4 linked regions of the Caenorhabditis elegans genome follow. The protein of the gene in region 3 purifies or fractionates together with the protein of the main gene of each other region. This does not show direct contact. Each region holds a gene or a part of one and is shown on either strand. Other genes may lie near its edges.

The links.
Region 1: the proteins of npp-15 (region 3) and npp-19 fractionate together in Caenorhabditis elegans (co-fractionation; one large-scale study listed by BioGRID). This does not show direct contact.
Region 2: the proteins of npp-15 (region 3) and npp-20 fractionate together in Caenorhabditis elegans (co-fractionation; one large-scale study listed by BioGRID). This does not show direct contact.
Region 4: the proteins of npp-15 (region 3) and npp-5 fractionate together in Caenorhabditis elegans (co-fractionation; one large-scale study listed by BioGRID). This does not show direct contact.

Annotation. Positions count from the first base shown.
Region 1 is NC_003280.10:10,795,542-10,801,732, forward strand, and holds npp-19 (Nucleoporin NUP35), read right to left. Parts: upstream 2,939-6,191; 5' UTR 2,936-2,938; coding exon 2,862-2,935; intron 2,796-2,861; coding exon 2,722-2,795; intron 2,673-2,721; coding exon 2,400-2,672; intron 2,350-2,399; coding exon 1,958-2,349; intron 1,908-1,957; coding exon 1,723-1,907; intron 1,544-1,722; coding exon 1,477-1,543; intron 1,434-1,476; coding exon 1,353-1,433; 3' UTR 1,112-1,352; downstream 1-1,111. Other genes in the region: set-14 (SET domain-containing protein 14), read right to left, coding at 128-489, 544-747.
Region 2 is NC_003282.8:1,489,394-1,498,938, forward strand, and holds npp-20 (Protein SEC13 homolog), read right to left. Parts: upstream 6,630-9,545; 5' UTR 6,615-6,629; coding exon 6,567-6,614; intron 6,498-6,566; coding exon 6,423-6,497; intron 6,334-6,422; coding exon 6,212-6,333; intron 5,552-6,211; coding exon 5,237-5,551; intron 2,922-5,236; coding exon 2,651-2,921; intron 1,556-2,650; coding exon 1,445-1,555; 3' UTR 1,260-1,444; downstream 1-1,259. Other genes in the region: Y77E11A.16 (Serpentine Receptor, class D (Delta)), read left to right, coding at 201-369.
Region 3 is NC_003281.10:7,925,355-7,933,555, forward strand, and holds npp-15 (Nuclear pore complex protein 15), read left to right. Parts: upstream 1-3,688; 5' UTR 3,689-3,695; coding exon 3,696-3,780; intron 3,781-3,824; coding exon 3,825-3,937; intron 3,938-3,983; coding exon 3,984-4,595; intron 4,596-4,655; coding exon 4,656-4,974; intron 4,975-5,019; coding exon 5,020-5,645; intron 5,646-5,692; coding exon 5,693-5,997; intron 5,998-6,041; coding exon 6,042-6,200; intron 6,201-6,251; coding exon 6,252-7,108; intron 7,109-7,155; coding exon 7,156-7,469; 3' UTR 7,470-7,701; downstream 7,702-8,201. Other genes in the region: C29E4.13 (C2H2-type domain-containing protein), read right to left, coding at 1,698-1,814, 1,863-1,914, 2,036-2,145, 2,195-2,275, 2,322-2,424, 2,503-2,593, 2,641-2,734, 2,811-3,107. UniProt on the Caenorhabditis elegans protein: Important for early nematode development.
Region 4 is NC_003280.10:11,595,141-11,602,122, forward strand, and holds npp-5 (Nuclear pore complex protein 5), read right to left. Parts: upstream 4,670-6,982; 5' UTR 4,666-4,669; coding exon 4,560-4,665; intron 4,504-4,559; coding exon 4,391-4,503; intron 4,343-4,390; coding exon 4,136-4,342; intron 4,084-4,135; coding exon 3,060-4,083; intron 3,014-3,059; coding exon 2,565-3,013; intron 2,384-2,564; coding exon 2,138-2,383; intron 2,082-2,137; coding exon 1,785-2,081; 3' UTR 1,627-1,784; downstream 1-1,626. Other genes in the region: gfat-1 (glutamine--fructose-6-phosphate transaminase (isomerizing)), read right to left, coding at 1-242. UniProt on the Caenorhabditis elegans protein: Involved in kinetochore assembly and chromosome segregation during embryonic mitosis.

The sequences.
Region 1 (6,191 bases), on a different chromosome or scaffold from region 3:
AAAAACATTAAATAACTATATTTTATACCTAGAAACTACGAAAAATTGAATTTAACCGAAACTTGTCGTGGCGAGACCGGCGCCGGTCGGCAAAAACCTAAAAATCTAAAAATTTCATGGCATTTACCTATAACAAACTCGAGTCAATGGTTTGCAGGAATGATTAGCTGCGCTCAGCTTAATGCACAATCCAACACCGATTGGATTTCCCGTGGAGTTTCCAACTACAAAACTATTTATCGAAACTTTTTGGAATATCAATTTGATCAAATCTCGATCTGGATGGGGAGCTATCGCAAATTGAAAGTATTCTTTTACAAAAGACTCTTCATCGGCGTCATATGATGATGGATGATGCTCGAGATTTTGAAAATTGCGAGCAACACCCGGAATATAGTAGGCTTCTATTTCTCCATCTTCGTTTCTGCTCAACTTTCCGGCAATTCTCATTACGAGTCGAATCGAGTCGTTCGCAACTTCATTATGAGTCTGAAATATGAAAATATTAGAAATAAATTGTAATATAACCATGAAATCTCCTACTTTAATAGCTTTACACTCCACTTTATGCAGCTTCCAGTCAGCTCTTTGACATTCTTGTGAGCAATAAGCAAGCCGTCGGCAGGCGCTGCACTTTTTGAGTTCTGCCATACTCGTAAGGCATTGATTACAATATGATTCGACTTGATCTCGTGCAAGAGCAAATGCGTACACATTTTCGTGGAGGGCGTCTGGGGGAAGATTCATTGGGAACTGAAAGAATTATTTGAATAATTTTTTTTTAACGGGTTTTTTAAAATTAAATTTTATAAAAAAAATTAAATTTAAAAAAAACTTCATCGATTGTAAATAATTTTCTGAAATTAAAAATTGAAGAAAATGAGAAAAATCGATAAAAGAATCTCTACAGTATTTTTAAAGGCACACACCCACACACAATTTTCAATGTCATTCGTGCCGAGACCATTCTGCAATAATGCGCCCTTCTTTAAACTCATAGAAGTGAATTTGTTTAATCGATGTTTTTCAGTCAATAAAGCCTCATTTTTTGAAAAAATATTTTTTTCGAGTATTAGCAACTCGTCTTCTATAATCGACAATATAAAAATATGAGTTTTCTTCATTTCAATTCATAGAATCAGTTTTGAATGGGAATGGAATGGACGGGAAGAAGGGAAGGAAAAATGTCCGAAAATTGAGAATACACCGAAATAAATAAAATTATTTTGAGAACGAAAAACCGTGAGAAACGAAACTGTTTTCAGAAATTCGAAAAAGAAGGATACACAACAAAAGAAAAAAATGGTGAAATAAAACAGAAAAATGGGCGATATTTCCAATGAGCAAAAAGATTAGTTGAGTCCGATCGTGTTCCAGAACTTGTTGAGCAATCCGTCAGGTGCCTTGCGAACCGATGGGGTTCCCTGTAAAATCTTTTTTAATTGGTTAGAAGGATTGAATCAATGAAATGCTTACGTTTGTTCTTTGATCGGCAGCCAATGGTCTCATTCCGACACCAGAACGGACGGAAATACGAGAAGAACTGAAAACATAAACAATTTTTTGTGGAAATATTAATTGAATTGTGAAAAATTAACTTTTTCTTTTTCACATTTTCAAAGTGGAGTAGCGCTAGACTACAAACTACAAACTTCGCTTTAGCAGATTCAAGTATAAAATTTAGATTTTTATGAATTTTTTACTAAAAATTTCTAATCATACTTGAGCGAGTTATTTGCATCAAAAACATTCGACGAGTTGAGCACACTGTTCTCATTGTGATTAACTGATTGATCGGCCATATCGTTCTCCACAAATGAGTTATACATGGAAGCAGATCGGTTTGCAGCTGCAGCAATGTTAGATGATCGAGCAACAATTCCGGATGCTGAGCCGTTGATCACGTCCTGTAAATTTTAAAATTAAAATAAAAAATAAATATATCCTTTTTACTTACCTTATTTGTGCACTGAACGACTCCAATAAATGTATCCTGATCGAGGAGAGTTCCGTTTCGAGAAATAGCTTGTTGAGCGTGTGTGACACACGAATAGCGCATATGTATGAAGTTTCCTTTTGATGGAGTCTGATGACTAACTACTTCCCCGTGCCGCGAGAATAAATTCAACAAAATCGACACTTGGCTTGGCTGAAATCCAAAAACAGTGACCCAGGTATCAGCTGCGTCGGCTTCTTCTTCCATTGGTTGTTCTTCTGCTTCAGCCAACCTGGATGTGACTCGTTGAGTGATTGGAGTGGAAAGTGGTGTTGATCTGGCAGTGAATGTATTTCGTCTGGAGATCTTTTTCGCTGGTTCAACTTTGTCGCGAAGAGATCGAAGAGGTGGTGCTGAAAATCAATTTTATTTTAAATATTCGCGAAAAAATGTAAATTCTAACCATGCATCGCTTGACCACCGAAAGATGATGTCTGAATCGACTGAGGAGCTGGCTTTGTCGGCGCCGAAAATGATGAATTTCCTCCGAAAGACAAGTTGGCAGGTGTATTCTGTGTTTGTGCCGCCGACTTTTCACCAGATTGCACCAAAGATGGAGACCAATGAACTGATTTAGAGCCCGGTGTATCCTTCAAATGCTGCGGCACTGCCGGTGCAGAAACAGCGAAAATATCCGAACATGGTGCCGATGCAGTGTTGAGCGGGCTAGCGGTGTCTAAATAATTATCATATTTTTGAGAAAACTTAAGATAAACTTTACTTACACGAAGATGGAACAGTTGCCTTTCGCTTTCCGAAAAGAAGTGCCGGCGTAGACTGTTCAACTGGTGTCCCGAAGCTAAAATTAGATTTTTAGTATTAAAAACTGGTTTTTTTTTTGCAAAATAAGAAACAAATTACTCACTTTGAAATACTAGAATTGTTGAGATCCATTGAGTTATGCCTTCCGGATGTATTTTGGTTAAGATGCGAGAACATGGCCTGAATTTCGAAATAAAATGCTTTTTAATTAAAAATTTAAGCAATAAACAAGTTTTTCAAATTTAAAATAAAGAAAGAATTGAAAAATACCGCTTTTTTAAAGTGGAAAACAGGTTCGAAAAGTTCCAAGAAAAAACATTTTTGTTTGAAAAATCAAAGTCCGCAACGACAAAACACGCAAAGCTACGCGCAATTGCGGACTTGAAAATGGAGGGAGTTTAAAATAGGGTTTTTGTGGTGAAAGTTTGCTGGGAGGTTTTCTGCGGGAAATAAAGAGAAAATTTTTTTTCTCTGATCGGATGTTTTGTAATTTTGATGAAGTCGATTTTCTGTTTGAACTTTGATTTTTTTTCTTCAACACTAGACACTGAAAAAAGTGAAATTCGTGTATGGGTTACTGTATAATACCGCCGACCCCTATAGTACATACCTATCCATAAAATATTGAATTCTAAAAAATTCTAGAAATTTAATTACACATTTCAGATGTTTTTGTTTTTATTTCCCTTTGACCTACTCCCTCGTCTAATTTTCGTTTTCAAATTTCAACGAGCACCACTCGTTTCTTCTCACTCCTCCTCGTTTTAATTGCAAAAAAAAACGGAGAAAATTGAGAAATGCACGACGACGGGGTCCCCCATTTAATTAAATTCCTTTTCTGTGTCGTCGACCTTTTTTTGTTGACCACACAGAGCACAACGTTCGGAGAGCTTCTTCCCGCCTCTTCATCAAATAAAATGAGAATTCATTCCTTTTTTGGGAAAGAAAAATGTTTCGTCGCGCACGACTATATAGCCCCCTGTGTCGTATAATATTTGCGGGTTGGTCAAAATGAGAAAGAAAAAAAACCAAAAGATGATGAATTGAATGAAAATTGTATTTAATATTAGTTTTCGGACCGAACCGGATGTAATTTATTTTCAGAAAATGTGGTTGGTTCTGACTGGAGCAGAAGTGGCGACCTGATGATGTAGTCAAACTTGCGCGTCAAATTTGGTGTTTTCGCCCCGCCTCTTAGAAGATGAGATTTTGATTTTTGAACTGAAACTTTCAAACTGTGATTCCCATAAAACCGTACGGAAATTACAATTTCCGTACTGTTACAAAACAAATTTTGGGATAGAGGGAATTATTACGTAGACGTCAAAATTGGGAAAATTTCGTAAAATCTTAGGTCTCGCCACGCCGAGTTACTGTAACTCGTCTCCATTTACGGGTAGCATAGTATCATAATTTTCAGATTTAATCGAAAATTGCTGTCAAGAATTTGAATATAATATTAAAAATGGCACAATATTGGTCCAGTTACAGTAACCCAATTTCAGCGTGGTGAGACCCGAAAACTTTCATCTTTAGACTACCACGTAATAACAGAAATTGAGAATAGAAAACGATGGTATTGGCCACACCCACATAACCGTGCGGAACTTGCAGATTTTGCAACCTCCGCAAGGTTCATTGAGCTCTCATTCTCATAACCGTGCGGAGGTTGCAAAATTTGCAATTTTCGCACACTCTTCTTCTCGTGGAGTACACATTCTCCGATTTCGAAATTTAAGAAAGTTTTTGGAGACGAGGTCACCTGGCAACGGGATCTATGAAGACTAGCGGAAGAACATTATAGCAACGATTCGTTTTTTTTTCGGCAATGTGTCCCAAGTGCATCCCTTTCCATCATTTTTCTTTTTTTATTCTACTCATCGTTCCATTCCACTTTCTTGTGTGTACGACAGCATTCATTCAATCCTAATTGGATGTGATCCTTCTGTGCCCCCCTCACTCACTCAACAAGTTGCTCTCGACGCTTCTTTTTCACATTTTTCTTCCTCTCTTCTTTCCTTTTAAAAGCACTCTACAGGATGTGTTGATGATGATGATGATGTTTTCTTTTTTCTCTATCTCTTCTCAATGCTTTTGAGATTTTTAATGAGTTCTAAAAATGGAAACGTGTGCAGCGCTAATAGAATTGAAAGCTCAACATTTTCATAATCACATTTTGTCTCAGGCCACCGAAATTAATATTAATTGTAAATTCTATATTTAAGACAAAGTTGCTCCTTTACAACACTATATACATTTCTCGGCCATTTCCATAATTATATTTCCCTTCGAATCAAAAGAAAAAAAACGGAATGAAAAAGAGCATTTTAAAATGAGATTTGCATCTTATTTATTAGTGGTCTCTGAGTTTTTATAATAAACGAGTCAATGGGGATTATACTACTGATGGAATGATCTGAATTTCTATGAAGCTGGGAGATCTCACTTGTCATTTGGAATGAGCATAGGTAAACGGAAACAGTTCGACGCCTACGTCATGCCTGCCTGCCTACACTCAAACCTTATGCCTATATATGTTTCTACACGCCTACTTCATACCTGCCTAACTATTCGCCTACTATATGCTTCTCGCCTGACTTGCCTAGATCATGCCAACCTAAGTACCTATCCTACCTACCTACCTACTTGCCCACCGCATGCCTACCTGTATGCGTACTTACTTGCCTACATTCCTTTCATGCCTACCTACGTGCCTATACGCCTATTTTGGACCTTGCCGGCTTGTTTGTTATCTGTCTGCTTCATGCCTGTCTACCTACGTACGAATAAAATATAAGAAAATGTTTCCATTCTATGATTGTGGCCGAGTTTTCTGCTTCCACGGCCACGTAGTTAAAGTCTACCAGTATTTGGAACATCAGTGCACAACACATTCAGAAACATTGCAATTTCTAGTACAACGTCAGAATTCCCTTCCGAATTAGTTTTGCTCGGCCACGCCGCATAGCAAAAAATAAATAATTGATGACTGTTGTAATAATGGACTGAACAAAATAAAAGAACACATTTAAACATTATTTTATGTACATTTGATGACTAATGTGCCGGTCAAACAATATTTCAAAGTGTTATTGTAAACTAGACAGTTAAGTGCATTGTTATCAAATGATAAATTATTGAGCAATCGATAATTGCCATTTTGTAGGTTTTACGTTTTTAGAAGGGTTGTTAACACGGTTTTTTATTTATTGAACTTCATGAATTGGGTTTTCTGAGCTACTACATGTTTTAAAGAAACACTCTTTACAGAAAAAAAAAGTTATCGTACTTACAAAATTTAGTTGTAATTTTTTTGACCGGCCCATTTTTTCAGGTGACAGAATAATTTTTCAGATCACACTTTCAACATTTTGGAAATAATTTGGAAAATAAACGTCTTCTTGTTTACTTCAACTTGCTTTTTGTACAATAT
Region 2 (9,545 bases), on a different chromosome or scaffold from region 3:
TAGATTTTCGCTGCGAGACCCAAAGTGAAGGGAACCTAGGCGTGATTATACTTAAATGAAAGCTCTCGTTGTGCTGAATTTGAATTTAAGGTTGGAAATTGCTAAAAATCAACATTTTTAGAAAAATTTAGAAAAAAAAATTAGAATTTTTTTCAATTTTTTTTCAAAATTTCAAAATTCAAAATTGCTCCAATTTTCAGCGTAATCCCCCTTATCCAACCAATTATCACAATATACTACATAAAACCGTATAACCATGGTTTCCGACGTCTATTCTGCCGCTGGATGGTCCGGCCAATTCCTACGAAATCTCTGACTACTGTATATGGGGAACGCGAGACGCGATACTCGTCGACGAGATATGATTGATTTTTTCTTAATTAACCCTTTTTTTAATGTTTTAATAAATAATAAAATTTGAAAATAAAAATTAAAAAAGTCGAAATTTTTTTGTACTTTTTCAAAAAAATTTTTTTTGAAATTTTGAGTTTCAACTTCAAAAAAGAACAATAAAACCTATTAAGGCAAACTGATAAAGTTGAAAACCGCCCCCGTGGGTCGAACCCCGGTCTTCTCAGTCTCACCGAGACCTCTACCCAGTTGAGCCACCACGTCCCATTTTTCAAAAATGACCCGATATTGGCATCAAATTATCTAAAAATTAAGCGAGAAATTCAAAAATTTGAATGAAAATTCATGAAAATCACATTTTCATTTACTTTTTGGACATTTTTCCGCAAAAAAATGACACAAAACCCAAACTATTCGAGATTATTTCTAATTTCTAACAAATTTCGGTCAACTTCCGCTAGATAATAGTATCAACCAAGAAAAAAATTATTCCCAGCACGCGGGGTCGAACCCCGGTCTTCTGCGTCCCAGCCCAGCCCGTTGCCGCCTGCGCTACTGCAACCAATTTTTCGAAAAATCCTCGGAAATGAGCCAATATTGGTGTCAAATAAACGAAAATTGTGCGAGAAATTTGAACATGTGCATGGAAATTTGTAAAAATCATGTTTTCAAAAACTGTTCCGCATTTTTCCGAAAAAAAACTGATTTTTTTCAAGTTTCACTAGTTTCCAGCAGGTTATACTCAGTTTCAGCTTGTTAACAGTATCAATCACGCTAAGATAAAGAAAATTCCCACCACGCGGAGTCGAACCCCGGTCTTCTGCGTCCCAGCCCAGCCCGTAACCGACTGCGCTACTGCGACCAATTTTTCAAAAATAAGAGAAAATCTGAATTTAGTCGAAAAAAATCAATAAATAAATAAAACTTCATCCCGGTTTCGCATTAGTTTTTTGAGAGAGAAAAAGAAGGAAAATCATAAAATATCTGGATTCGGAGAAGTAAATGAGGAAAAAAATCAATAATAACAGGTACATATACAAGTTTTAAGAGGAATTATGGGTGTAGAAACAGCGAAAAAAAATAAATAATTTATTTATCTCTGAGCTCCCGGAGCTCCGACCGCTTGGCTCATTCCCTCGCGTTCCTTATTGTCACGTGGCACTTTGATCCATTGTCCCTGAAGATTTTCGCGCCAAATTGTGATCTGCAAAATTGGAAAATGAGCGTTTTTAGGCGTAGGTGCCTGCCTGCCTGCAAACAGAGCTTATCATATGCTTTTTTTTGTAGAAACGGCACTTTTTTAAGAAGATTTGCCTACCTACCTGTAGGCACGGTAGGCACACGTGTAGGCATTAGGCAGGCGGGAACATTTCGTCTGGTTTTTCGTAATTCTAGGTCGAATTTTTCAGAATTTTCGTTGAAATTCAATTAATTCCGGTGATTTGATCGGAAAATTCGAATTTTTCGCCATTTTCAGTAAAATTACTGCAAATTCTGAATTTTTGAGTATTTTTTTTCCATTTATTCAGATTTTTCGTGCCAAAATGCTTTTTTTGCAAGTTTTCGGTAGCTTTTTCTCAAATTTTTCATAAAAATTGAAATTTTCATGTGCTGCTCAAAAATCGATACTTTTCAACCGAAATTCGCCGGTTTTTATGTAAAAAAAATTGATTTTGAAGTGATTTTGGCCAATTTTCCGGTAAAAAAAATTTTTTGTTTTCCCACTTTTTTGCCAGTTCTCAATAGATTTTTTTTTCCAAAATTTTGAATTTTCCAGGTTTTGCTCGAAAATTAATATTTTTAGCATTTTTCGATCAAAATCACCTGAAAAAATCGAATTTCAACGAAAATTCTGAAAAATTCTTCCTAAAATTACGAAAAACCGGGCAAAAAAGATAGAAGTTGTATTAAAACCAAAAAAAAAAAAAAAAAAAAAATCAAAATTTTCCTCACAAAAACCTGCCACCTGCCTCATGCCTACTGCGGCTAGAGGTAGGTAAGATTTTTTTCCGTTTTTTTTAATGCCAAAATGCTTTTTTTTTTCGCTATTTTTTCCAAATTTTTTCGAATTTTCTAGGTTTTGCTCGAAAAATCATAATTTTGAGCTAAAAAATCCAAAATTTCAGCGATTTTTGCTAAAAATGTGACAATTTTCCGTTTTTGAAGCGATGATTTTCGCTGTTTTTGTACACTTTTTTTTTTCAAAAATTGTGCCATTTTTGACGTAAAAAATCCATAATTTTCCCAATTTCGGTGCCAATTTCCACATTATTCCACACAAAAATCCTCGATTCCATACCACATTATCATCGCCAGCAACTGAAAGGAATGATCCACACGGAGAAAATGATGAATGGTACAATGCACACGGAGCCGTCTCCAATAATTTCGCCTTCCACTCTTCAGTTTCAATATTTGAAGTACGGAAAAGTACCAAATTTCCCTCCATTCCACAGCTAACAATTGTATGTTGTCCATTATTTGTTACCGGGCACCATGCGGCTTCACGTACAAAATCTGTGTGTCCGGCTAGGGTTTTCTCGAGAATCCATTCGTTTGTAGCGTCGTCACTGGAGGAAAAAATATTGGTGATTTCGAAGGAAAATTGTCATTAAGAAAATGAATTTTTCTTAGGAAACCCCAATAACACTGCAACTTTTTCCTCACGAGGGACGAGGAAAAGTGGTTTCTAGGCCATGGCCGAGGGGCCGACAAGTTTCAGCGGCCATTTATCTTGCTTTGTTTTCCGCGTGTTTTCTTTTGTTTTTCACAGCTTTTTCCCGTTTTTTCTTATTAAAACTGATAAATAAATATTTTTTGCAGATGCTAAAACAATTTCCAAGTTAAAAAATTATGTATCCAGTGGGCAAGCAGCGGTGAAAGTGGGCAATGTAAAATGATGGATTACGGGAATACAAAACCTAAACTTTTTCTGAAACATGATACATATGCTGCTTAAATGCTGAGACTACCTGATTTTCATAACGAGTCCGCTGAAAAAGTTTTGAGGTTTCCACAATTCAACTTTTTTGGTAAAAAAGTCGAGATTTTCGCACAAAAAATTGAATTTTGAAAACCTCAAAACTTTTTTAACGGTCTCGTTATGAAAATCAGGTAATTTCAGCATCTAAGCATCATATGTATCATGTTTCAGAAAAAGTTTAGGTTTTGTATTCCCGTAATCCATCATTTTACATTGCCCACTTTCACCGCTGCTTGCCCACTGAATACATTTTTTTTTTACTTGGAAATCGTTTTAGCATCTGCAAAAAATATTTATTTATCAGTTTTAATAAGAAAAAACGAAAAAAATCGATGAAAAACAAAAGAAAACAGGCGGAAAACAAAGCAAGATAAATGGCCGCTGAAACTTGTCGGCCCCTCGGCCATGGCCTAGAAACCACTTTTCCTCGTCCCTCGTGAGGAAAAAGTTGCAGTGAGAAACCCCAATAAATTCGACAAAATTCAGTGGGAAATCAGCTTTTGGGCAGCTTCAAAATTGGGATTTTCCAAAGCGAACCCAAATTTCTGCATTATAATGGGGAAATTTTTTTTTTTTTTTCGAATTTTCACCAACAATTTTGTTTGTAGCGCGTCGTCACTGTAAAAAAATGGGTAATTTCGCGGAAAAATTGTCAAAAAATGGATTTTTCAAGAGGAAATTCAGGAAATTCGACAAAAATTTCGAAAGAATATACTTTTTTTCTGATTTTTCAGCAAAAAAGATTAATAAAAATTTCCGATTTTGGGGGTTTTTTGAAATGAAACTGCGAAAAATCTGGAATTTGAGAATTTTTTGCAAAAAAAACAGCTTTTGGGACAAATTTTCAAGTTTAAATTATTTTTTGAGTGATTTTTTCAGTTTTTTTTTAATCAAAAAACCGAAAAATTGGATGTTTCAGGGGGAAAATCCAGGAAATTCGACAAATATCTGTTAAAAAATATCCAAAACCTGGAAATTTTGAATTTAACACGATAATCTGAAATTCGGGTAGAATTCGCTTTTACTTTTACAATTTTTTAGAAAGAAATTTATTAAATGGTCGGATTTTTAGTCTTTTTTGATGGAAAACTGTGAAAAAATGGGTTATTTCACGGAAAAATTGTCAAAAAAAAGGATTTTTCAAAGGAAACTCTAGAAAAATCTGGAACTTTGGCGAAAAATTTCCATTTTTTCTCGTTTTTCGCGTCGTCACTGGCAAAATAATGGGATTTTTCAGGTGAAAATTTAAGAAATTTGAGAATTTTCGGTGAAAAAATACGCTATTGGGTCGAATTTTTAACTTTAACATTGTAAATTTTGAGAATTTCAGAAAAAAAAACAATTTTTTCATTGATTTTTCAGAAGGAAATTTTTTTTAATTCTGGAATTCAGGCTTAGGCTAAGGCTTAGGCCTTAAAAAAAATCCGAATTTAATTTTTATTTTGCGAATTTTTTCATCCCAGAAAAACTGACTTTTTCAGGGGAAAAATCTCAGAAATTCTTGTGATTTTAGCAAAAAATCAGGTAATTTTGAGGGAAAAATTTGAATTTTTCAAAAATTTCCGGTAAGAACTGCACTAATTTGTGATTTTTAAACAAATTTTGGATCAAAAATACAACTTTTTTGGGAAAATTTCATAAAATCTGCCAATTTTGCTGAAAAAAAAGTAAAATTTTACGACTTTTTTTCCGAGAAGTTTTGGCAATTTGAGGCTTAGGCCTAGGCGTAGGCGTAGGCTTAAGCTTAGGCTTAGGCTTACAAAAAATCTGACTTTTGAGAACCTGAGAAAATTGCGGTTTTTGTATTTTCCATCGAAAAAACGTCAAAATTTCACGTTTTTCGGGTCAAAAAAAATCTAAAAAATCTAAAAAATCGATTTTCAGTGCATTTTCTCTACTCACAAAGCCCAAATCTTGACATTTTTATCATTTCCAGCTGAAACAAGACGTTTTTTTGCCGCCGGATCAGCACTTCCAGGTGCCCAACACACTGAATTAACTCCTTGTTCATGACATTTCTGAATTTTCGACGAAATCCATTCGTTGCTCGAATTGTCGTATCGAAGAATACCGATATCACCGTCAGCAGAGGCAGAAGCCAACATTAGGCCATATTGGTGTGGTGCAAAGGCCACACAAGTCGTACTGGCCTCATGAGCGGCCCATTCGTAGGCTTTTTGCCAGCGGCCTTGTTGTTCGTTCCAGATTATCACTTTTCTGGAAAGAAAATCGATTCATTTGGGGGAAAATTGGCTGAAAATCTGTGAAAATTGATGAAAAATGCCTGAAATTAGAGCAAAATGAGCTAAAAATTGCAAAAAACCCGTGAAAAACTACTGAAATTCATGGAAATTCCAGAAAAAAACGTTGGATTGGGGGGTAAATTGGCTCAAAATTCCGAAAAAAAAACTATGAAAATTGAATAAAATCGATAAAAATTACAAAAATCGGGGCAGAAATCGACTAAAATTCGGGAAAAAATTGCAGAAAATCGGTAAAAATTTCATAAAACCCGTTGAAGTTTTTAAAATTTTGGTGGATTTGAGGGAAATTAGGCTTGAAATTCAAAAAAAAACTGTGAAAATTGACCGAAAATACTGATTTTTCTTTAAATAATCCGTGAATTTAAAGGGAAAATAGCGTAAAATCGGTGAAAAATGATCAAACTCATTGAAATTTCAGAAATAGGCTGCATTTTTCAATATTTGTGTCCATTTTCTTCCAAAATCACTCTGTTTAACCAATTTTTGGCAAAAAACCCAAAAAATGAGCTGAAAACCGATTAAAAACAGAGATTTTAGCGTATTTTTATGAAATTCTGATCGAATCTAGCAAATTTTGATCATTTTTCCGTTTTTTTTTCCAAATATTCCGTACTTATCATAGGAAGCGGAGGCAAGAAGTCCTCCATATTTCGGATGAGCCCATGAGACTTTCCAAACGGGACCACTGTGTCCGACAAGCTCCGCCATCGGATATGACTGGCCATTTGGGCGAACCTGTAATATTTTTATATTTTTTTTTGCGTTGAAATTATGAAAATTCTGGGATTTTTGCAGAAAATCCAAGATTTTTCGCCTTTCCTGACCTCAAAAATCTTCACAAGACGGTCAGATCCACACGTGGCGAGTCGGCTTCCGTAGATGTTGAGCTGAGCGTCGTGCTGCAATTTTTCAGAATTTAAAAAAAAAAAATAGATTTTCTTAGCTAAAATTCAGATTTTCCGACTTACAATTGCGTCACGATGTTGTGTATCGATTCTCTGGCGGACCGTGGTCATTTTTCAGCTGAAAATCTAGAAATTTCGAAAAAAATCGCTAAAAATTGAGTGAATTTCGGCAAAAATTGAATTTAAAAATTGCAAGTTGGAACGATCGAGAAACGCGTCAACACGAGAAACGCGCCAGCAAACGATAGCTGGCGTGTTTCTCGTGCGCCAAGGAACGTGGATTTAATCACGAGAAAATAATAATTGATGGAAACCTGGAGAATTCGAATGGGAAATTGTTGATAATTTGATAAAAATAACAATTTCTAGTTCTACTTTTTAAGATTTTAAATCAAAAACAACTCAGGGAACCTTTCAACACAGATTAAAAGATCAAAGTTCTGAAAAACAACTTTCTTAATTATATTGTCCTTGTTTTTTCTTCTGTTTTGATTTTTTCTTCTGATCATCAATATCAACACGCCGTACTTTGAAGTCTGAAAAAAAGATTCAAATGAAAAAAAAACACATTATATTTTGTGCTTAGCCTCCGTGTGTCTTATTGCGGGTCGCGTGACGTCGTCAGCGCAATTTTTACGATCATTTCTTTCTGTCATGATCATCAGTTTGATTTTCTAGCGTGATTTGGAGGCGAAAATCAATAAATTATAATAGTTTTTCGCTTATTCCTGTTTTAAAACATGTTTTCTATATTTTTATTGAGAAACTTGAGATTTTTAAAAAGAAAACTTTAAAACCCGCTTGTATTTTTGCAATTATCTTATTTTTTTCAATTTCTTCGCTGAAATACTTGAAAAATTGCAATTTTTGCTGAAAATAATTCCAAAAAGTGTGCGCGGCAAGTAAAATGCATTGTACGCAATTGCGTATCAATGCATCTAACCCGACGCGCAGTTTCAAGGTTACTGTAGAACATTTTGTTTTTTTTTGTGTTTTCCCCAATTTCCAGCCGAAAAACTCGAATTTTATGTGTTTTCCAACGTTTTTTAAAATGTTTTTTTTTGTAAAAATTTTAGAAAGTCAGCAAAGTTAACGTTTCTATCGAAAAATCCAGTTAAAAATCAAAAAATTATCGATTTTTCGGATTAATTTGGAAATTCAATCGAAAATGAACTATTTGAGGAAATTCTGGCAGTTTTTGCGGAAAAAAATTGAAAATTGACAGAAAAGTCGATATTCTAACAGAGTTTTCACGCAAAATCTAAAAATGTTGAATTATTTTTCGATAGAATTTCGGGGTTTTAAAAATTTTTAGGACAAAAATCAATAATTTCCAGAATTTTTTTGAAAAAAGTTTCGAAAAATAATAGTTTCAAGAAGCATCAAAATCGTAAGTTTCAGTTTTTTTCAAATTTCCGATAAAAATCCCCAAAAAGTAAAAAAAAATTTTTTTTTGAAAAAATCTGTTATTTGTGCCGAAAAATCATTAAAGCAAATATAAGAAAACTATTATTTATCTAAATTCTTATAGAAAATCCAATTTTTTTTATAGAAAAATCAAATTTAAAGAAAAAAAAAATCAATAATTTCCCCCAAAAGAATCCTGCCACCCCAAAAATTATCAACAGAGCACAATTGCATCATATTCCATAAAAAATATCATTTGGCACACTGCCAAGTCTTCATCACACCAACATCTCTGCACTCTCCACATCTCTGAACCCCCTTCTTTCAGTGTCTGCGTCTCCACACCCTCTACACTCTCTCACCCTGGCTGAGGTCCTCTTTCTCTTCAATTCTGCACGTGCGGACTGCCCTTTTTATTGTTTTTCTCCTTTCTGCCACTTGATTTGATAGATAAATTATCAAAAAATCGATAATTTTAAATTTTTTGCGAGAAAGTTGGAAAATTCCAGAAATTTTCCAAAAAAATCCCTGTAAATTTGTTAAAGTACATAGTTTTTCCGAAGAAAATCGACAAATCTCGGAAATTCGAGGTTTTTAACCGAAAAACACTGCAACTTTTTCCTCACGAGGGACGAGGAATAGTGGTAGGGGCCGACAAGTTTCAGCGGTCATTTATCTTGCTTTGTTTTCCGCCTGTTTTCTTTTATTTTTTCACAGATTTTTCCCGTTTTTTTCTTATTAAAACTGATAAATAAATATTTTTTGCAGATGCTAAAACAATTTCCAAGTTAAAAAATTGTGTATTCAGTCGGCAAGTAGCGGTGAAAGTGGGCAATGCAATATGATGGATTACGGGAATACAAAACCTAAACTTTTTCTGAAACATGATACATATGCTGCTTAAATGCTGAAATTACCTGATTTTCATAACGAGACCGCTGAAAAAGTTTTGAGGTTTTCAAAATTCAATTTTTTGTGCGAAAATCTCGACTTTTTTACCAAAAAAGTTGAATTGTGGAAACCTCAAAACTTTTTCAGCGGTCTCGTTATGAAAATCAGGTAATTTCAGCATCTAAGCATCATATGTATCATGTTTCAGAAAAAGTTTAGGTTTTGTATTCCCGTAATCCATTATTTTACATTGACCACTTTCATCGCTGCTTGCCCACTGAATACATAATTTTTTTACATGGAAATTGTTTTAGCATCTGCAAAAAATATTTATTTATCAGTTTTATTAAGAAAAAACGAAAAAAATCGATGAAAAACGAAAGAAAACAGGCGGAAAACAAAGCAAGATAAATGGCCGCTGAAACTTGTCGGCCCCTCGGCCATGGCCTAGAAACCACTTTTCCTCGTCCCTCGTGAGGAAAAAGTTGCAGTGAAAAATAGGCATTTTTCAAATTTTGAACGTTTTTCTTTTTAAAAAATTGTTTTTTCGCACCGGAAATCTTGAAAACACGCTATTTTTATAATTTTTTAACGATTTTTTTGCAAAAACTCAAAAATATCAATATTTTCACGAAAATTATTTTTTTTTAAACAGAAGCTTCGGAAATCTCAGAAAACAATTTTTTCCACAGAAAATCGTGAAAATTCGCTATTTTGTAGAATTTTTGCAATTTTTTACCATTT
Region 3 (8,201 bases):
GTATCGAAATAAATCCAAATTTGACTTTTTTTGTTTCTCGAATTTTTCTTGTCTCAGCTTTGATTGTCAGTTAACTTTTCTTAAAAGAAAACAGTAAAAATAAATCAATATAAAAAATTGGGGAAAACACTCAAAAAGTTGAGTTTGTCTTGACGTGGAAATGAACGGAAGGCAAACATGGACACGGCCCTTGTTTGACACTTTCTTTCGCAATTTCTTCGCCTGACTGTTCATTGTGCATTAGAACAAAGGTCGAAGAGTTCATTGATCCAGATCTTTGGCGTTTTTTATTCGCAAAAATATAGAGAAGATTACTGATACTATAGGGTCAAAACCACTTCTATTTCAAAAAATTTAGAATTTAAACAAATCTTCAAAAGCCAAAAAAAAAAAAAAAAAAGAAATACATTTCCTGTGTACCAACTGAAATCACAACACCCTATTCCACGTGTGTGAAAGTTTAACTATAGACCAGGAAAAACTACATCGACACAGACTGTAAAAGGAAGGAATTATATATTCGGTTGCTTGTCTCGTTGTTCCCATTGTTCCAACGAGGAGAGGGAATAAAAAGTGGCAAGAAAGAATGAGATTTGTTATTATTTTATTATTCGAATGTGAAATGTAGGTGGATAAAATAAAAGTGGTGAAATTCAAATATATCTGAATAATTCAGAAAACTAATTTCTAATACCAAGCTGGTCCACTAATCAATGATAAGCAAATAAAGTGAACTGTTAAGACAATACGGACCGCATGGGAAAGTAAGCAAAGCAGAGCTATACTCAGAGAGACGCAGACACATATACAGAACACAGTACATGTAGATGGACACGTCGATTTTCTTTTCCGTTTTGCGCCAAATATTCATCGGATGAGAACGGGTGTTTAGAGGGGAAGACAACGGAAAATATCACAGGGATTTCGGAGGGAGAAGCATTGAAGAATATTGCAAAGAGCTTATGTTTGTACAGGCGGACAGAGACTATTGCAGTTGCATCAGTAGATACAGTGGAAACATTTTGAAATTAAAATCCACGTGGGAAATCTAACAAAAATTAGAAAATATAACTTTTTTCCACTTCCACGATTTTCAAGGAGGTGCATTTATTTTAGAATGGTCTCGCCACGCATTGCGAACTAACCTAACAAATTAAGGCGCGCCTTTAAGATTACTGATTTTGTTAGCAATTCTTTATCGATTTTTCTCGATTTCCAAACATAAAAATTGGATTTTTTCCGATTTTCGATATTTTCGGCTAATATATACAACTAAATCAAAAGAATATAATAAGAAAGAAACCGGCATTTTGTTGGCGATTCTAATCTAAATGTTCGTGCGATTAGGGAAAAGATGTTTTATGAATTTATTGCGTGTAAGAAAGCGGGTAGACAAGGTCGAACAATTTATAGAGGTTCTTCCCTCCGCCACGTTTGGAATTAGTTATGAGTGGAGGTCACTTTAAACTGGAATTGGTTATTTTGAAAAAGAATTATGGAAATCTCGAAAAAGTTAATAAATTCTTTTTCAGATTTTTTTAAAGTTAATAATGAGAAGTAATTGAAAATTGAATAAAGATTAAAATATGAATAATGAAAATCGAAAATCATTATTTCAAGAATTTCAGTAAGTATAAAAATTCAAATTATGAACTTATTTATCAAAAAAAAAAGGACCCGCAAATACATTAAACAATTTAGACACCTCGTCGATTAATGGATAGATCTTGATGTGGAGTTGTGACAGACATCGGACGAAAGTTTATTGCAATATTTTGAAGTTCAGGGCGAGTCTGTGGAATTTGACAGGAATCCTGAAACAAAATTTTTAGAACACAAGTATGACGTTGTAAATACCTTACCAATGAAATATTTTGATATGTGGGCGTTTGCACTTGTCGTGAGTGTGAAGTTCTGAAGTTTCAAAATTAAAATAATAAAAATCAGCTTACTATCAGAATTAAAAGTTTGATGTTTATCAATAATTCCAGAATGTTTTATGCTAAACTTTTCGGCACTTTTTTTGTAAACTCACAATTTTCTGACTAACACGATTGGCCGTTTGAATTTCAAGTTGGCGAACTTCATAACTTCTACTTCTGCTTCTCTCTCCCATTCGTGAACTCGATCTTTAGTTACCTCTGGCTGCAAAATGTTTTTTAACCTTTTCAATTCTCAAAGATAAAATAAATACTCCATCTCTACATATCAGAAAAATTTGTTTGAATGCTTCTCGGGCGGCTGTCTCTTTTTTGGGATCGTATTCCTTGAATAGCTGAAAATATATAAATTTTTAAAAAAATGTTTATATTGCTCCATACCGTAACTTCATCTTTCGGATGTCTTGTACTCAAATGAAAACGACCTTCTTCTTCAGTGTAAAATCCATCTTTTTTACAATGAAAACAACGGTAGGGGCGATATCTTAATGTTTGAAGTTTTATGAATGCTCAAAAATTTTATTTACATATTTAGTTAAATAATTTGAATTGAAATTCTTACTTTAAATGTGTGCAGAGAACGTGATATTCGAATCCCCTCCAAGTTTTAATAATCGCGTTGCAGTGACAACAATAAGGCAATGCTTTGTGTTCTAAAATGCAAATTTTAAATAGTTGAATTGAAAAAAATTAAACTCACGACTCAAAATATCATCTTTTTCATCCAGATATCGATCGCTCAGGTGTGTTGGATGTGCTTGCATTGTTATTGGAACAACAAAATTCGAACCTGACTAAGAAATGCATTTTTCTTTCGTTTTTTTTAGTGGAGTTGGGGAAAATTTTCATCTCAAACTCAATTTTTCTCACCCTGTGTATAGTCTGCATTCCATTTTTCTTTGCAGATTCCGCGACGGCTACCGTCGTTTCTCGACTTGTCCGTAAACGGTTGTTCCGATGATTTTGTGAGTGGAGGTTATGCGTTTTTTCTGTAAAAAAAGCTTTGCAGAATATTCTTCCATTTTTCATTTTTTCTTTTTTTTTTGAGGGAGAATTCGTTTGAATTGTTTCCTGAAAATTTAATTCCAAGAATTCCAGATTACCGTCGTCAACAGGCTTCCAATTTGACATCGATGCTTGCGATGGATCAATTGTTTTGTTGATCATCTGAAATTGTCAGAAATTATGTTTTTATGAGACAGAAGGAGAGAGAAGGCTTAAAATAACAAAAAAAAACGTTTTATTGAAAAATAATTGAAAAAAAACACTCACTATTCCCTCATTTCCAGATTTTAGGTATCGAAAATCTAATCTATCCTCATTCATCTTTCGCTGGGTTAATATAAACAATAAATTGAGCTTTTAATTTTCTAGTTCATGAGACTGAAAATGGCGAGTGCACAGTTCTGATCGAATAGTGCGCCTGCTAAGAAACGCGCCAACACTGGGTGCTTGACACGCAAAATTGTGGGAATTTGAATTTTAACGAAAATATTTTTCAGTTTTGAACTATTTAATTGATTTAAACAAATATTTTGAACGTTTTTTTGGAAATTGGAAACAAAAACAAAAATATTTCATACCGTGTTTTTAAAGGCGCAGAGTTCCCACATTTTGAAGGGTCTCGCATCGAAATTGAATTCAAAATCTGTTTGTGGCGCGAAACTTTTGTTTCGGAACATGTGAACATTTTCATTTTGCAATTTCTTCTCTTTTCTAAATATCGCCCCCTTTTCTAATCACTGAAATTTCAGAATGTCGGGACGAGATCTCGAACTAACTCTCGATAGAGTATCCAGCATAGAATACCCGGCACTGGTGAAAGAGGCCTTTCTGAATAGTGAGTCGAAAAATGATCAAACAGAAATTTCTCAACTGATTTAGATTGGCACGCTTCAGCTCATCGATCCGAGGTGACTTCAAATTGTGCATCACTCAATGACAGGTACTGCTGGGTTCTGTCTCGAAATCAAATTTTCATTTGGGAGCGGGCGAAGGTGAGATTTAAAAAATAACAATTCTCGAATTAAATTGAACTTTCAGTCGAGCCATCGTGCTATAATCCCCACTCAGCTTCCGTTGCCGACCAGTGGCCTTCCTCGCTCAGTAAAGTGCGTTGTTGTATATGATGGAGTCCACCGTGGTGCAAACAAAACCCCGTGTCCAGGAATTCTCGTTGTCTCACCTGAAGGAGTTCTTCGACATTGGACTTCAATTGAATCTCAAACATACATTGAAGAAGTTTTGGATATCAATAACGAGGTTGCTCTGCGGGTGGAATTGACTGATGAGCCGATCGATGGAAAATCAGCTTCTTTCCTACTGACAACTACATCAGGAACTGTCTATTTTTTGAATGGAAAAGGGCAAGATTCGGCAAAAACGGGTGCATTGGAATGCAATAAAGTAGCTGGTCGAGAAGCACATGGATTCAGAAGACGTCTTTCTTCAATAATGTTCGGAGGAGAATCCAAGGAATCTACGTCACTAATTACGAACAGTTTCCAACATCAATCCAAAGATTTACTGGTTGTAACAGTGTCTCCAGATGTTCTGACAGTTTATAATATGTACACACCATGTGAACTTTGGTCACTGAAAACCAAGGAATTTTTCCAACCAAAGATTGCATCGTTTTTCGAAGCGGACTTGAAGGTTTGCATTTTGCAACTTAAAAATAATAAGTGAATTTCTCAAAATATGAGAATGCTTCAGAGAACTCCACTGAAAGTCCGAGCGAGGTTGATTGATGCAGCAGTCTTCCGAGATGGTCTGATGATTCTAATCGGTGGAACTCATGAAGAGTCTCAATCTGTTCACATGTTCATGGTCTGGATGAGTGCTAACTGGCAAACAGAGCAACCCACCGGAGTAGTTTGGTCAGCAAGAGTTCCAATGAATGAGCATCGCGCCCTTTTTTCGAAGATTGACGATTCGATCTACTCTAATCTGACGTTGTGTATTCCCAAGAATACTGCAGAGTCGAAAAAGGCTGATAGAACAGATGGAATCATTATCATCAATCCCTACTTTGGTACTACATAACAAAATTAATTTAATTTTTGATGATATTTTTCAGCGGTATCTCTATACCTTCCATTCGATTTGGCCAAACCGAAAAAACCGGAAAGTCTATACCGTCATGTTTCCATTCCACCCCGAGATCAACTTCTAGGATATGCAATTTGCTCACAATATGTCTATATTATGATGCTAGAATCCGGTGTCTCTACAATTCGTCTTCTACCACGTGGATTTGCAGACAGCTCGATCTATACACATGAGCAAGTCGTCGTACCATCTCTGTCAGTAGGCACTGATGATTGGCCAATTTTAAGCGAACTCTTGTCTGAAATGGTTGCATCTGGACTTCCGAAGACTCCACTTTATCAATCATTGCATCGGGCTTTCGAGCTTTTCGCAGAAAAACATATGGCAGAGTCGGAAGAGGAATTAAAGGCGATTATCAAAATGCCAGATCAGGAAATTGCTCGTATTGTTTCTCAATTTCTCTACGCAATAATTGATTATTCGGATGCTGCCAACAAAACTGACACTGAACTCCACGCGAAGCGAGTGTTGACATCCAGAATCATGCTTTTCCTGAAGCATATGGGAGTGTATGAAAGAATCATAAGCTCACCCCTGGGAATCAGCAGAGGAGGAATCTTATCGCTACGTGTCGGAGGAACAATGCTGGGAGAAGTAAAAATTTACACTTAGAAAAATAAACTTATTTTCTGAATTTTCAGGTCTCCGAACGTGTCGCTGCATCAACGGCCATATGGACGTGGAAAACTTCAAACGAAACAAATTCTGCAGTTTTCGACGCAATCATCGAGAAAGTTTTGAGAATTCCAGAAGTCCAGGATTTAGGTCTGAAAGATAAAGATGCTCTATTCGGTCGATGTGGACTAGTTCATCATATTCCTGTTGTTGCTGCTCAACAATTGGAAAAAAATGTGATCGGAAAGACGAAATCACACAGATTCGAAGTGTTTCACGCTGTATGTGAACTTCTTTCTGGTATCAAAGAAACTATTATCAGTTGGAGAAAGTATGTTTTGATTTGTTAACAGACTTTAACCATTTGTATGAAAGTTGCAGAACGAAAGTTGCTATTCCTAAGTTCCCTATTTGGTGGACTCTCGAAACTTTTGCATCTTGTTATCGTGATGTTGCTGAAAAGATCATTGAGGAATTGAAAAATGGATCATCTACTGATAGTGAGAGAGCAAGACTTTTGATGTATATTTTGAGGTAAGAAAGGAAATTTTCTGCTTCGAATATTTCCAAATTAATAAATTTTAGCATCTACGATTTCTACCTGTCTGAAAGTGACTCTCAACCAGACAACGACAAAGTTTTGCAAGAAATGATCGCTCTTGGAAAGCCAGCAGACGCTATGGAACTGGCAGAGAAACACAAGGACTTTGGAACGTTAGTCAAAAATTATCTAACGACTGATGTTGGCACTCGGCAGAAGACTTTTGAAAGATACAAGAAGATGTTCGAAAAAGACGATTTCGAGATGTATCTATGTGATTATCTGAAAGAGCATGGACGAAATGATGTACTTTTGCAACAAGGTGGAAGTCGAGTGGATGCTTATTTGGATAACTTCAAAGAATTAAGATATTCAAGAGAAATTGCAAATAAACAGTTCGGAAAGGCGGCCCTCACTTTGATGAGTCTTGCTGATGCAGAAACTAAGAGCTTCTCAAAATTTGTCGAGTTTCTAACAAGAGCATATTATTGTGCATGTTCCAGTATCGATGGAACAGATGTTTCAGAGGTTCTCGACTTCTACAAACGACGATATCCGGAGATGAAGCATCGTAAACGTATTCCGACCGAAATATTGAAAATATGCTTCGGCAACGATTTGGATGCGATGATGTCTGTGGAAGATATGCTCGAATGGAATATGGCTGTCCAGCCGAATGATGAAGCTTCGGTTGAAGGGTTCGCAAGAGCATTCCATTTGTTAGCTGATCTTCTTGCTGTGCATCCGGATTCGGATGAATTGAAAAAGAAAATTGATAAGACGTGGAAAGCATTAGTGGATTATGACGAGTGGAACCGGGTTAGAAGCAAAGAAGATGTGGAGAAAAAGACAATTTTCGGAAAATTCTGCAACTATTTGATCAATTCGTATCCTGCTGACAGTAAGTATCAACAGAAAAAAAAACATGAACAAAAATTCATTTTACAGAAGGTGATTCTTTCCCAATTTGGATGCCAATATCTCGTCGTCTGATCTTCCCAACCGATATCGACACAGTTCTCGATGAATGTATCGCGAATACGACTGGAAATCATCTTTCATGGATCAAAGGTCATCTGAAATGGATTGGAGAGCAACTTTGTAAACAGGCTCTTCTACCAAAATCGGCATTCTTCCGTCCGGATATGAAACAAGTTGGATCGATTTCTCAAGCAGCTCTCGAAGCATTCGGTCCGATTTTACAACGAAGAGAACAACGATTTATTGATCAGTTGAATCGTGATTCGATGATGGAGACTTGATTATTTTATATTCTTCATTTTTTGTTTTGTTTTTTATTTTACCATTTTTCCCGATTTGTATATGATCTCCACGGTTGTTATTATTATTATTTTTCAAGTTTTTTTACCTAACTTATTGATTTTTATACATATCTTTAACGTGATGTTTCCCGTATAAAATCAGAGCTCTTTTTTATCTTAAAGTTTTACTAAAACCGAACATCGTAACTTATTCGATGAAAATTTTACTTATTGTTCTCAAATATATTTTCTCAACGAGTAAGTCGGTCTCGAGCAATCAGGTGTTTCATTTTGTTGTTTTTAAGGTCTCTGTGCCAACTGTTTTTGTGATTGTTTACTCAAAAACTACTAAACTTTAGAAGTAAATTTGTTTCAATTTTGGCAAATCCCCGATATCGAGCCCGATTCCTTTTTTAAACTGAAATTGTTTAGATTTCGCAATCACATAGAAATTATTGAAAAATTCGAAATTTCACGAAAAAATGTAATATGCTCACATTTTCCAAAACTTTATTTCCATGTAATTCAAAGTAACTTTTATTTTTCGGGAAAATTCGAAAGAAATTAATTCTGCGAAATTATTTTGTTTTCGAAAATTATCAGAATCTCAACAAACATGTTCAAAAGATTTTTCTGATTTTCCGAATTTAATTTAGTTTTTAGCAGTGAAATTCAATTAAAAAAACTGGTTATTTTCGTAAAAGTTTTCATAATTGTCATTTTCTTATCATC
Region 4 (6,982 bases), on a different chromosome or scaffold from region 3:
TCCATGTCAAGATCGCTGGAGCTCTCCTTGATGAAATCGCTGAGCACGGACACCTTTCCAGCTTTTCGCAGAAGTGCTACCGAAGAATGTGGTGATTCGATCTCATTGGATCCGTCGATGGCGATTCCTGCAGAGTCGTAGCCTCTGTATTCCATTCTTTGCAATCCTTGGACTAAAATATCCACGATTTCCGATCGTTTTTTCGGTGTCAGGAAGTTGAGGTAGGCGAAAATTCCGCACATTTTGGATGGTTAGTATAGGTGATACCCTGAAAATTATAAATGTTTATGAAAAGGCAGAGATTTAAATAATGCAAATTTGAGGAGAAACGTGGTGAAAATGGAAATTATGTAAAAGCGAACACATAACACGAATATGAATGAATGGATGAATGAGATTTAGAGGAGGGATTGCGACAAGTTCAGTGTAAACATTAGAAGGAATGGGCTGTGATGACCCGAGAAACGGCCGCTCCTCCCGTCTCCGCCGAAGCACCAGATACCATCTTCAACGGCCCGAACGAGGAGCCTCTTGATACTATTCTCTCGTGCCCTTTCAATAAGAAAGAGGCACGAGACGGCAGACACTTTTTGCTGCCTTTTTTGCCGTGTTGGACCACCCCAAAAACAGCACGATTAGGAGGAATTGTGAGAGGAGCGCGAAAGGAGAGAAGCCGAGAGATAGGCGGAGAAGAAGAGGAATAGAGAAACTAGGGAGACGACACGTGGAGCTCGACTCTTTCATTTCAATTTAAACATAAAATTAATTTCCTTCCTACTAGCAGGTCAGGTGTTAAAACAATAAATACACCTCATAACTTTTTAGCCTTTGAAAAATTGATAACGGCATACGGTTCTAATTTCCGGCTGGCGCATCACTGACCAACATCAGGACGAAAATTCTGTGAACCGATTCATCAAAAAATGTCTGAATACGTTGCAAGAAAGTGAAAATAGAAAGATCTCCGGCCAACTGATAACTGATAGCAGTTGGCTGACAAAGGTCAACTTTTAAATTTCTGCCCCACCGTTGCAGATATAAAATATTTGAAGGGAAAATGTTAGATTTGAGATCAAAGCACAAGCGACACGTCCAGCATTGAGAACAGTAAATTTGCATGAGAATATAGAAAAATTTTCTGCGAAAAAGCTGACGTTAAATATACGTTGCGTAGCGGTGAGAATGCAGATAAGGGGTCAACGAACAAAACAATAAGGAGAACACATCGAAAATCAAAAGATAATGAAGAGAACGACTCGCCTTTATAGACATTTTGCCGCCATTTGTTTTAATGAACTCTGCTCTTTCTTTTTTCGAGAACGATCGAAAGATCATCAAAACACAGTGTGTAGTTTGATGCCGCGGGTCTCGCAACGCTCCGGTTGAGACAGGTGTGCGCCTTTAAGTATACGGTAGGTGAGAATCCTCACTGAGGATATTTTCAGGCATGGAAATTTTCAAATTAAATGAAGAAAATATCTAAATCAAAATTTAAACCATCAACCTCTGCACAGAAAATTTTTCCTTTCCAAATATACATGGTAGTCTTGCGTCAGATCGGTAATATAGATCTTCCGCAATCTGATGACCTCTTCTTGAAGAAGATCTTCACGTGAAACCCACAGAAATCAGAAAAATTTGTTATTTTCAAATACTGCACGGATACAATCGTGTCTGTGAAAGATCGACCGGAAATTTAAAAAAAATGAGAAAGAAGTCAGAAATATAGTGATAAAAAATGGTAATCAAAACAGGTATCAAACAAAAAAACAATGAAATAAAAATTATTCGACTTTGAGATTGAGTTCTGCGTAGAAAGCTTTGATGAAAACCATCCATTCCTGATCGAGCCCGAGGTCATTATTGAAGCTTGTGAAGAAATCGTTGAAATTTGTGGTATCGTCGAGTCTCACGGCGGCTTGTGCAAGAAGGATGAAGAATTGCGGGAGGAAGAGATTCCGAATCTCCTGAATTTCTTTCCGGTGTACACGCATTGGATCTCCATTAGCACGTGGGCTCAAAAAGTACTCCGGGCGCACACCAATATTGTTAACCAGCCCACGGAGCATCGGAAGAACAGTCTGAAATTTCAATTTTTTAAAATTTTTTTCACAACAATTTATTCTAAAAATCCTACATCTAAATGTTGTTGAACCATTCCAACTCGCGTATTATGCTCGGCGGCTCTCTTTTTGAGCACCTCTTCCCGCAGAGTTTGCTCAGCACGAGCTCGGACTCTCAGTGAAGCTTCCCAGTCAGCAGCTGTGGTGTTGTCGAGTCGTTTGACTCCTCCGATCATGGAAAGCTCATCATCAGTGATCGGTGTGTACTTGAACATGAGCCCAAGTTTCAGAGCAATAGTGATCATGAAGTTGTTCACATCCTGAAAATTCGGATTTTAAAATGGCCAATATGAAATTGAATATTATTCAGCAGCGAAATTTTGAGTACGGGGTCTCGACACGACAAATTTTTGTTCAATACGAGACGGTTTGCACCTTTAAAGATTACTGTAATTTTAACCAGTGGTTAAAGATTCCGCTGATTTGGATAAGAAATCATACCACGAAAGAGCAGAGCCCATAAAATTCCAGAGCCGCGTGTTCGATTTTATTAATTGCCAGCTGCGATCCAGGTTTTTGCTCAAACAGGGTTCCATCAGTGATCAGTGAAAGTACAGTTGCTTCATTTTCAACAGCTTGTGACAATAGCTTAGGAACTTCGAAATGAAGCGCTTTTCGAATAATTTGCCTAATTACAGACTCGTCAATCGGTGTCGACAGCATCACTTTACGAACTAGTCGATTACATTCTTCAAGAGCAGCCAGTGCAGTCTCTTCTCCACCTATCAAAAGCCAATGCCAGTGATCAATCTGCTCTTCCAAAGTTACAACCTTCGTTTTGTCATCTTTTCTGATTTGCTCAATAAGTGTGCACGCACAGCGTCCGAAATCAATGTCAGATTGTTTCAGCGACTCAGCCAGGATTTCACGTTCTTCATCAGAATCGACAGCTGAAAAGAGAATTTTTTTAAAAATCATCATCAGTTTTTAAATTACCTTTCATAGTCTCCACAATCTCTGGAAGCTTCATATCTTCTGGGAGGAATCTTGAATAAAATGCAGCCATTTTCTTGTGTGATGAGGTTCCACTGCGTGCACGAAGATCATCGAATCCAAGAATAATTACAGCATTTCCATCGTCATTTGGTTCGAAACCACTCGCATAAGAAACTGCGACGAGGTGGAAGAAGATGTCGAGTGCGAGCATGTTCACTTGACAATTTTTATCATTTGGAACAAATTCTCCGACTGTTTCATTTGCGAACTTGTACAGATCTTCAATGTCATCATTGAGCATGTCATCGATCACTCGGAGTAGGATGTATACTTCTTTGGTACGATCAGCCTCTGATCTCAGCTCATCTAAGATTGATTTTGAAGTTAGTGGAACGTTGAACAACGTCGAAATAGTTTCCTGTGTCATGGCTCCCTCGGCGGCAAGAATTCTTGCGAGAACTGCAGAATTTGCATATGCCCATACTTTTTCAATCACTGACTTTCCAGCTTTTAGCATTGGTTGGATATTCCCACGAATCGCAGAAATCAGCATCCAGTAAGCATCATCTTCGCTCCCCTGCGATTGTTCTATCAATTTCTGTGTCATCTGGTAGTACTTTGCGCGTCGAGATCTTTTATATTCCCCAAAGTTCTGTTTAGATGCCTCTAGTGGAATATCAAGTGGGTTCCGGAGCATCGAGTGAAGCTGAAGTTGAGCTCCGATCGCTCCCATTCCTAGATCAATGGCTAAATTCGCAGCTTTGGAAGTTTCTCCACTTCGAATTAATTGGAAGAAAACGTTCATCGCCATTTGCTCGAGAGCTTGATCTTCTTTGGTACCAGGAGCATCTGGATCCAGTGAAGCATCTTTTGGAGCATTGGCTGCTCCAAATGTTGGTCGTTTCAAAGCCATCATTGAATTGATTCTAGAAGATTTGATTCCTTCGAGTTTCCGAACTTTGTCTCCAAGACCTTTTTCATATTGCTGTTCGCTGATCGCTTTCTCACTCCAAAGAAGAAGAGCCTAAAAAATTAGAAATTATGTGTTTAATTGAATAAAAAGTCTAAGATCTTACATAAATCCTTCTAAACTCCACATCTTCTACAACTAGTTTGCTAAGCAAAGAAACTTCCACAGTCTCATCATATTCATGAGCCAACGCGGTATAAATTGAAAGAACACTGGCGATTTGCACGGCTTCATTCGCGTATTTTTGTGAACTGGCGGAATAATTAGATCCTGCAGGAAGTTTTCGAGTCTGCATTTCTACTTCTGAATAGATCTGAAAAAATATTACATTTATCAGAGGCCTTTTTCAAGTGAATCAAACCTCATGAAGTCTGGTCCACATAAGTGGCGAGATTTGCCCTTGAGGAATATCGAACTCTCCGAAAGCCAATGCACATAATTCGTGGTACAGTTTTTCTGAGAGATTTGTGTGAACTGCAAATTATATATTTTTAAAATAGTTTTCCTTTCGCATCGAGTGTTAAACTCACAAATTGTAGTGTATTTGAAAGCGGTTTCATTTTTGCGCGCGATTTCATCGTTAGAGTCGTCGAAGGAGTTGGAAGAATTGTCCCCCGAAGCGAACAAGTCTGTCATTGTGCTAAAAATATTTTTTTAAAGGAAAATAAAGTTTTAAAAACTACATGAAACAGAAAAAAAAATCGTTTTACACGACGAAAACCCTTCGAAATTTGAAAATTTTTGCTTAAACGAAAATAATGGTAGTGCGCTCCATTGAGAACACAATGCGCGGACTTTCAAAAAAGAGGGGTTTATTCAGGTTTTCATAACTTTTTTGAAACACAGAAATGGAAGAAATTGCAATTTGAAACTTTTCCGAGTAGTGCCTTTCATCTTCAAATTGTTTAATAAGGTGCAATCAGCTATAAAAAACAAAAATGAGAGCCGACGTTATGGGTTGATGAGAGCTCTTATTTTAAAGCACATCGTATTTTTGCGTTCCAGTAGCAGCTATCCTCTAAATCATCTGTTTTGTGTGCATTGTGACTGTCTATAAATCGATCAATACGTGCTCCTACGCTTGCGTTTGCTACTTACATAAGGATATATTCTTTGAACCACATGTTTTGTGTGAATTGAGACTGTGTATAAGAATGTAAGGAGGAGAGGGGCCGTTCGTATCGTTCGTCTTATGCACAGGCTCAATGCACACAAAACAGGGTATATTGTATACTCAAATTAGAGAAAAACATATGGAGAGGACAATAGACCAAAGTTTTGATTTAATAACTAGAATGGAACCATTTCTGGAGCACTATTTCGTACGAAAAGCTTGCGGCTTTGTGCAATCAATCTCCTAGGACTTTGGCGGCCTGTCCATTTTTGTTATGTTCGAACAATTGAAAAAGTTATTTTTTTAAAAATTCAGGAGAATTCTATAAATTATTTAAAAAGTTATATTCAATATGTTGGACTGCTTTCTGTTTCTAGGGAAGAAACCTACACCTCCTCCTCTAAAAAGTCCTTATAAGGGGACTATAGACCAAAAAAAAGATTCCTTGTAAAAAAATGTTTGCCCTTTTTTGGTACTTCCTTCCTTGGGCTTCTCAAGTGTAATCCATCACATCAATTACACCAACCGACAAGAAAACCAAAAAAAAAAAACGAAAAGATGCTAGTTTTGCATGGGAGCCGTAGTGCACCTCTTCTTTTTCGTCTCTCTTTGTTTCTGCCTCTCCACTCCTTCACCCACTATTTCCAGCTCACCGAGCCATATTTAGTAGCTTCATATCTTTAGTTTATCAATCATATTTGTTAAAATTAATTTCGAGTATTTTCATCGCTAAATACCTGCTTTTCAAAATCGTCGCCACCTATTCCCAAAATCGATCACCGGATTTTTTTCTGCCGACTTCAGTTAAAAGACAACACAAAATGCAATGGTAAAAGGTGAGTTTGGAACAAGTTCTGCAAAAAAAACGAGAGAGAAGACCCCCGAAACTTGATAGTGTGGGAGAGGAGGAGCATAAGAAAGAAGAAAAAAAAGATGTATTGAATTTCGAACATCATGTTGAATTACAACAAAAAATACGCAGATATTTTCAACTTTTTGCGTTTATTAAAAAATTAATGCATATTTTCAAAATGTTTAAAGCCGCTGATAAACGTTCAGATTTAAATTAATGAAAATTTTTACAAATTTCTAATAGTATGCCAATTAAAAATCAATTAGTTTTAGGCTTTCCATTGAAAGTAAACTTTACAGAAAAATCTCAATTTGTACCATTTGGCTTTACATATATTTTTTCAGAGAACTATTGTTCCAGACGCGAACTTTTGAGCCAAAATTAAGGTATCTGGTCTCGACACGACAAATTTCTGAAAGTTAGTAAAGTGGTGTGCGCGTTTAAATAGTACACTGTAATTAATGTAATTTCAAACTGTCGCTGCTGTAGAATTTTCATCGATGTTTTATATGTATGTGTTTCTATTATTTTATTTCAATTTTTTTAAAAATAAATTTATTTTAAATTTGGTATCGAACAACTTCAAAAAGTCGATTAAAATAAAATCGCAGCAATGAGCCTCTGAAATTACAGTTCTATTTAAAGGCGAATGCTCTTCTGCATTTAACAGACATTTATCGTGTCGAGACCGTACCGTAATTACCGTAATTTTGGCGCCAAAATCGCAAAATTTGGCGTCTGGTTCATACGTCGATGTCCCATTTAATTTTCCCAAAAAAAACTATTCGGCCATTTTTTTCAAAATTCAAAACGGTGATACATGCTCAAAATGAACTATAAGTGTAAGTTCATTTAAAGCGTGAATTCGATTTATTTTCGTTTCATGCATCTCGTGTTTGGTATCTCTGGAGACTACACTGCGTGCTTTTAGAATAGATAATATCACTAAATTCACACACTTTTCATTTTTAAAAATTCCAAAATGC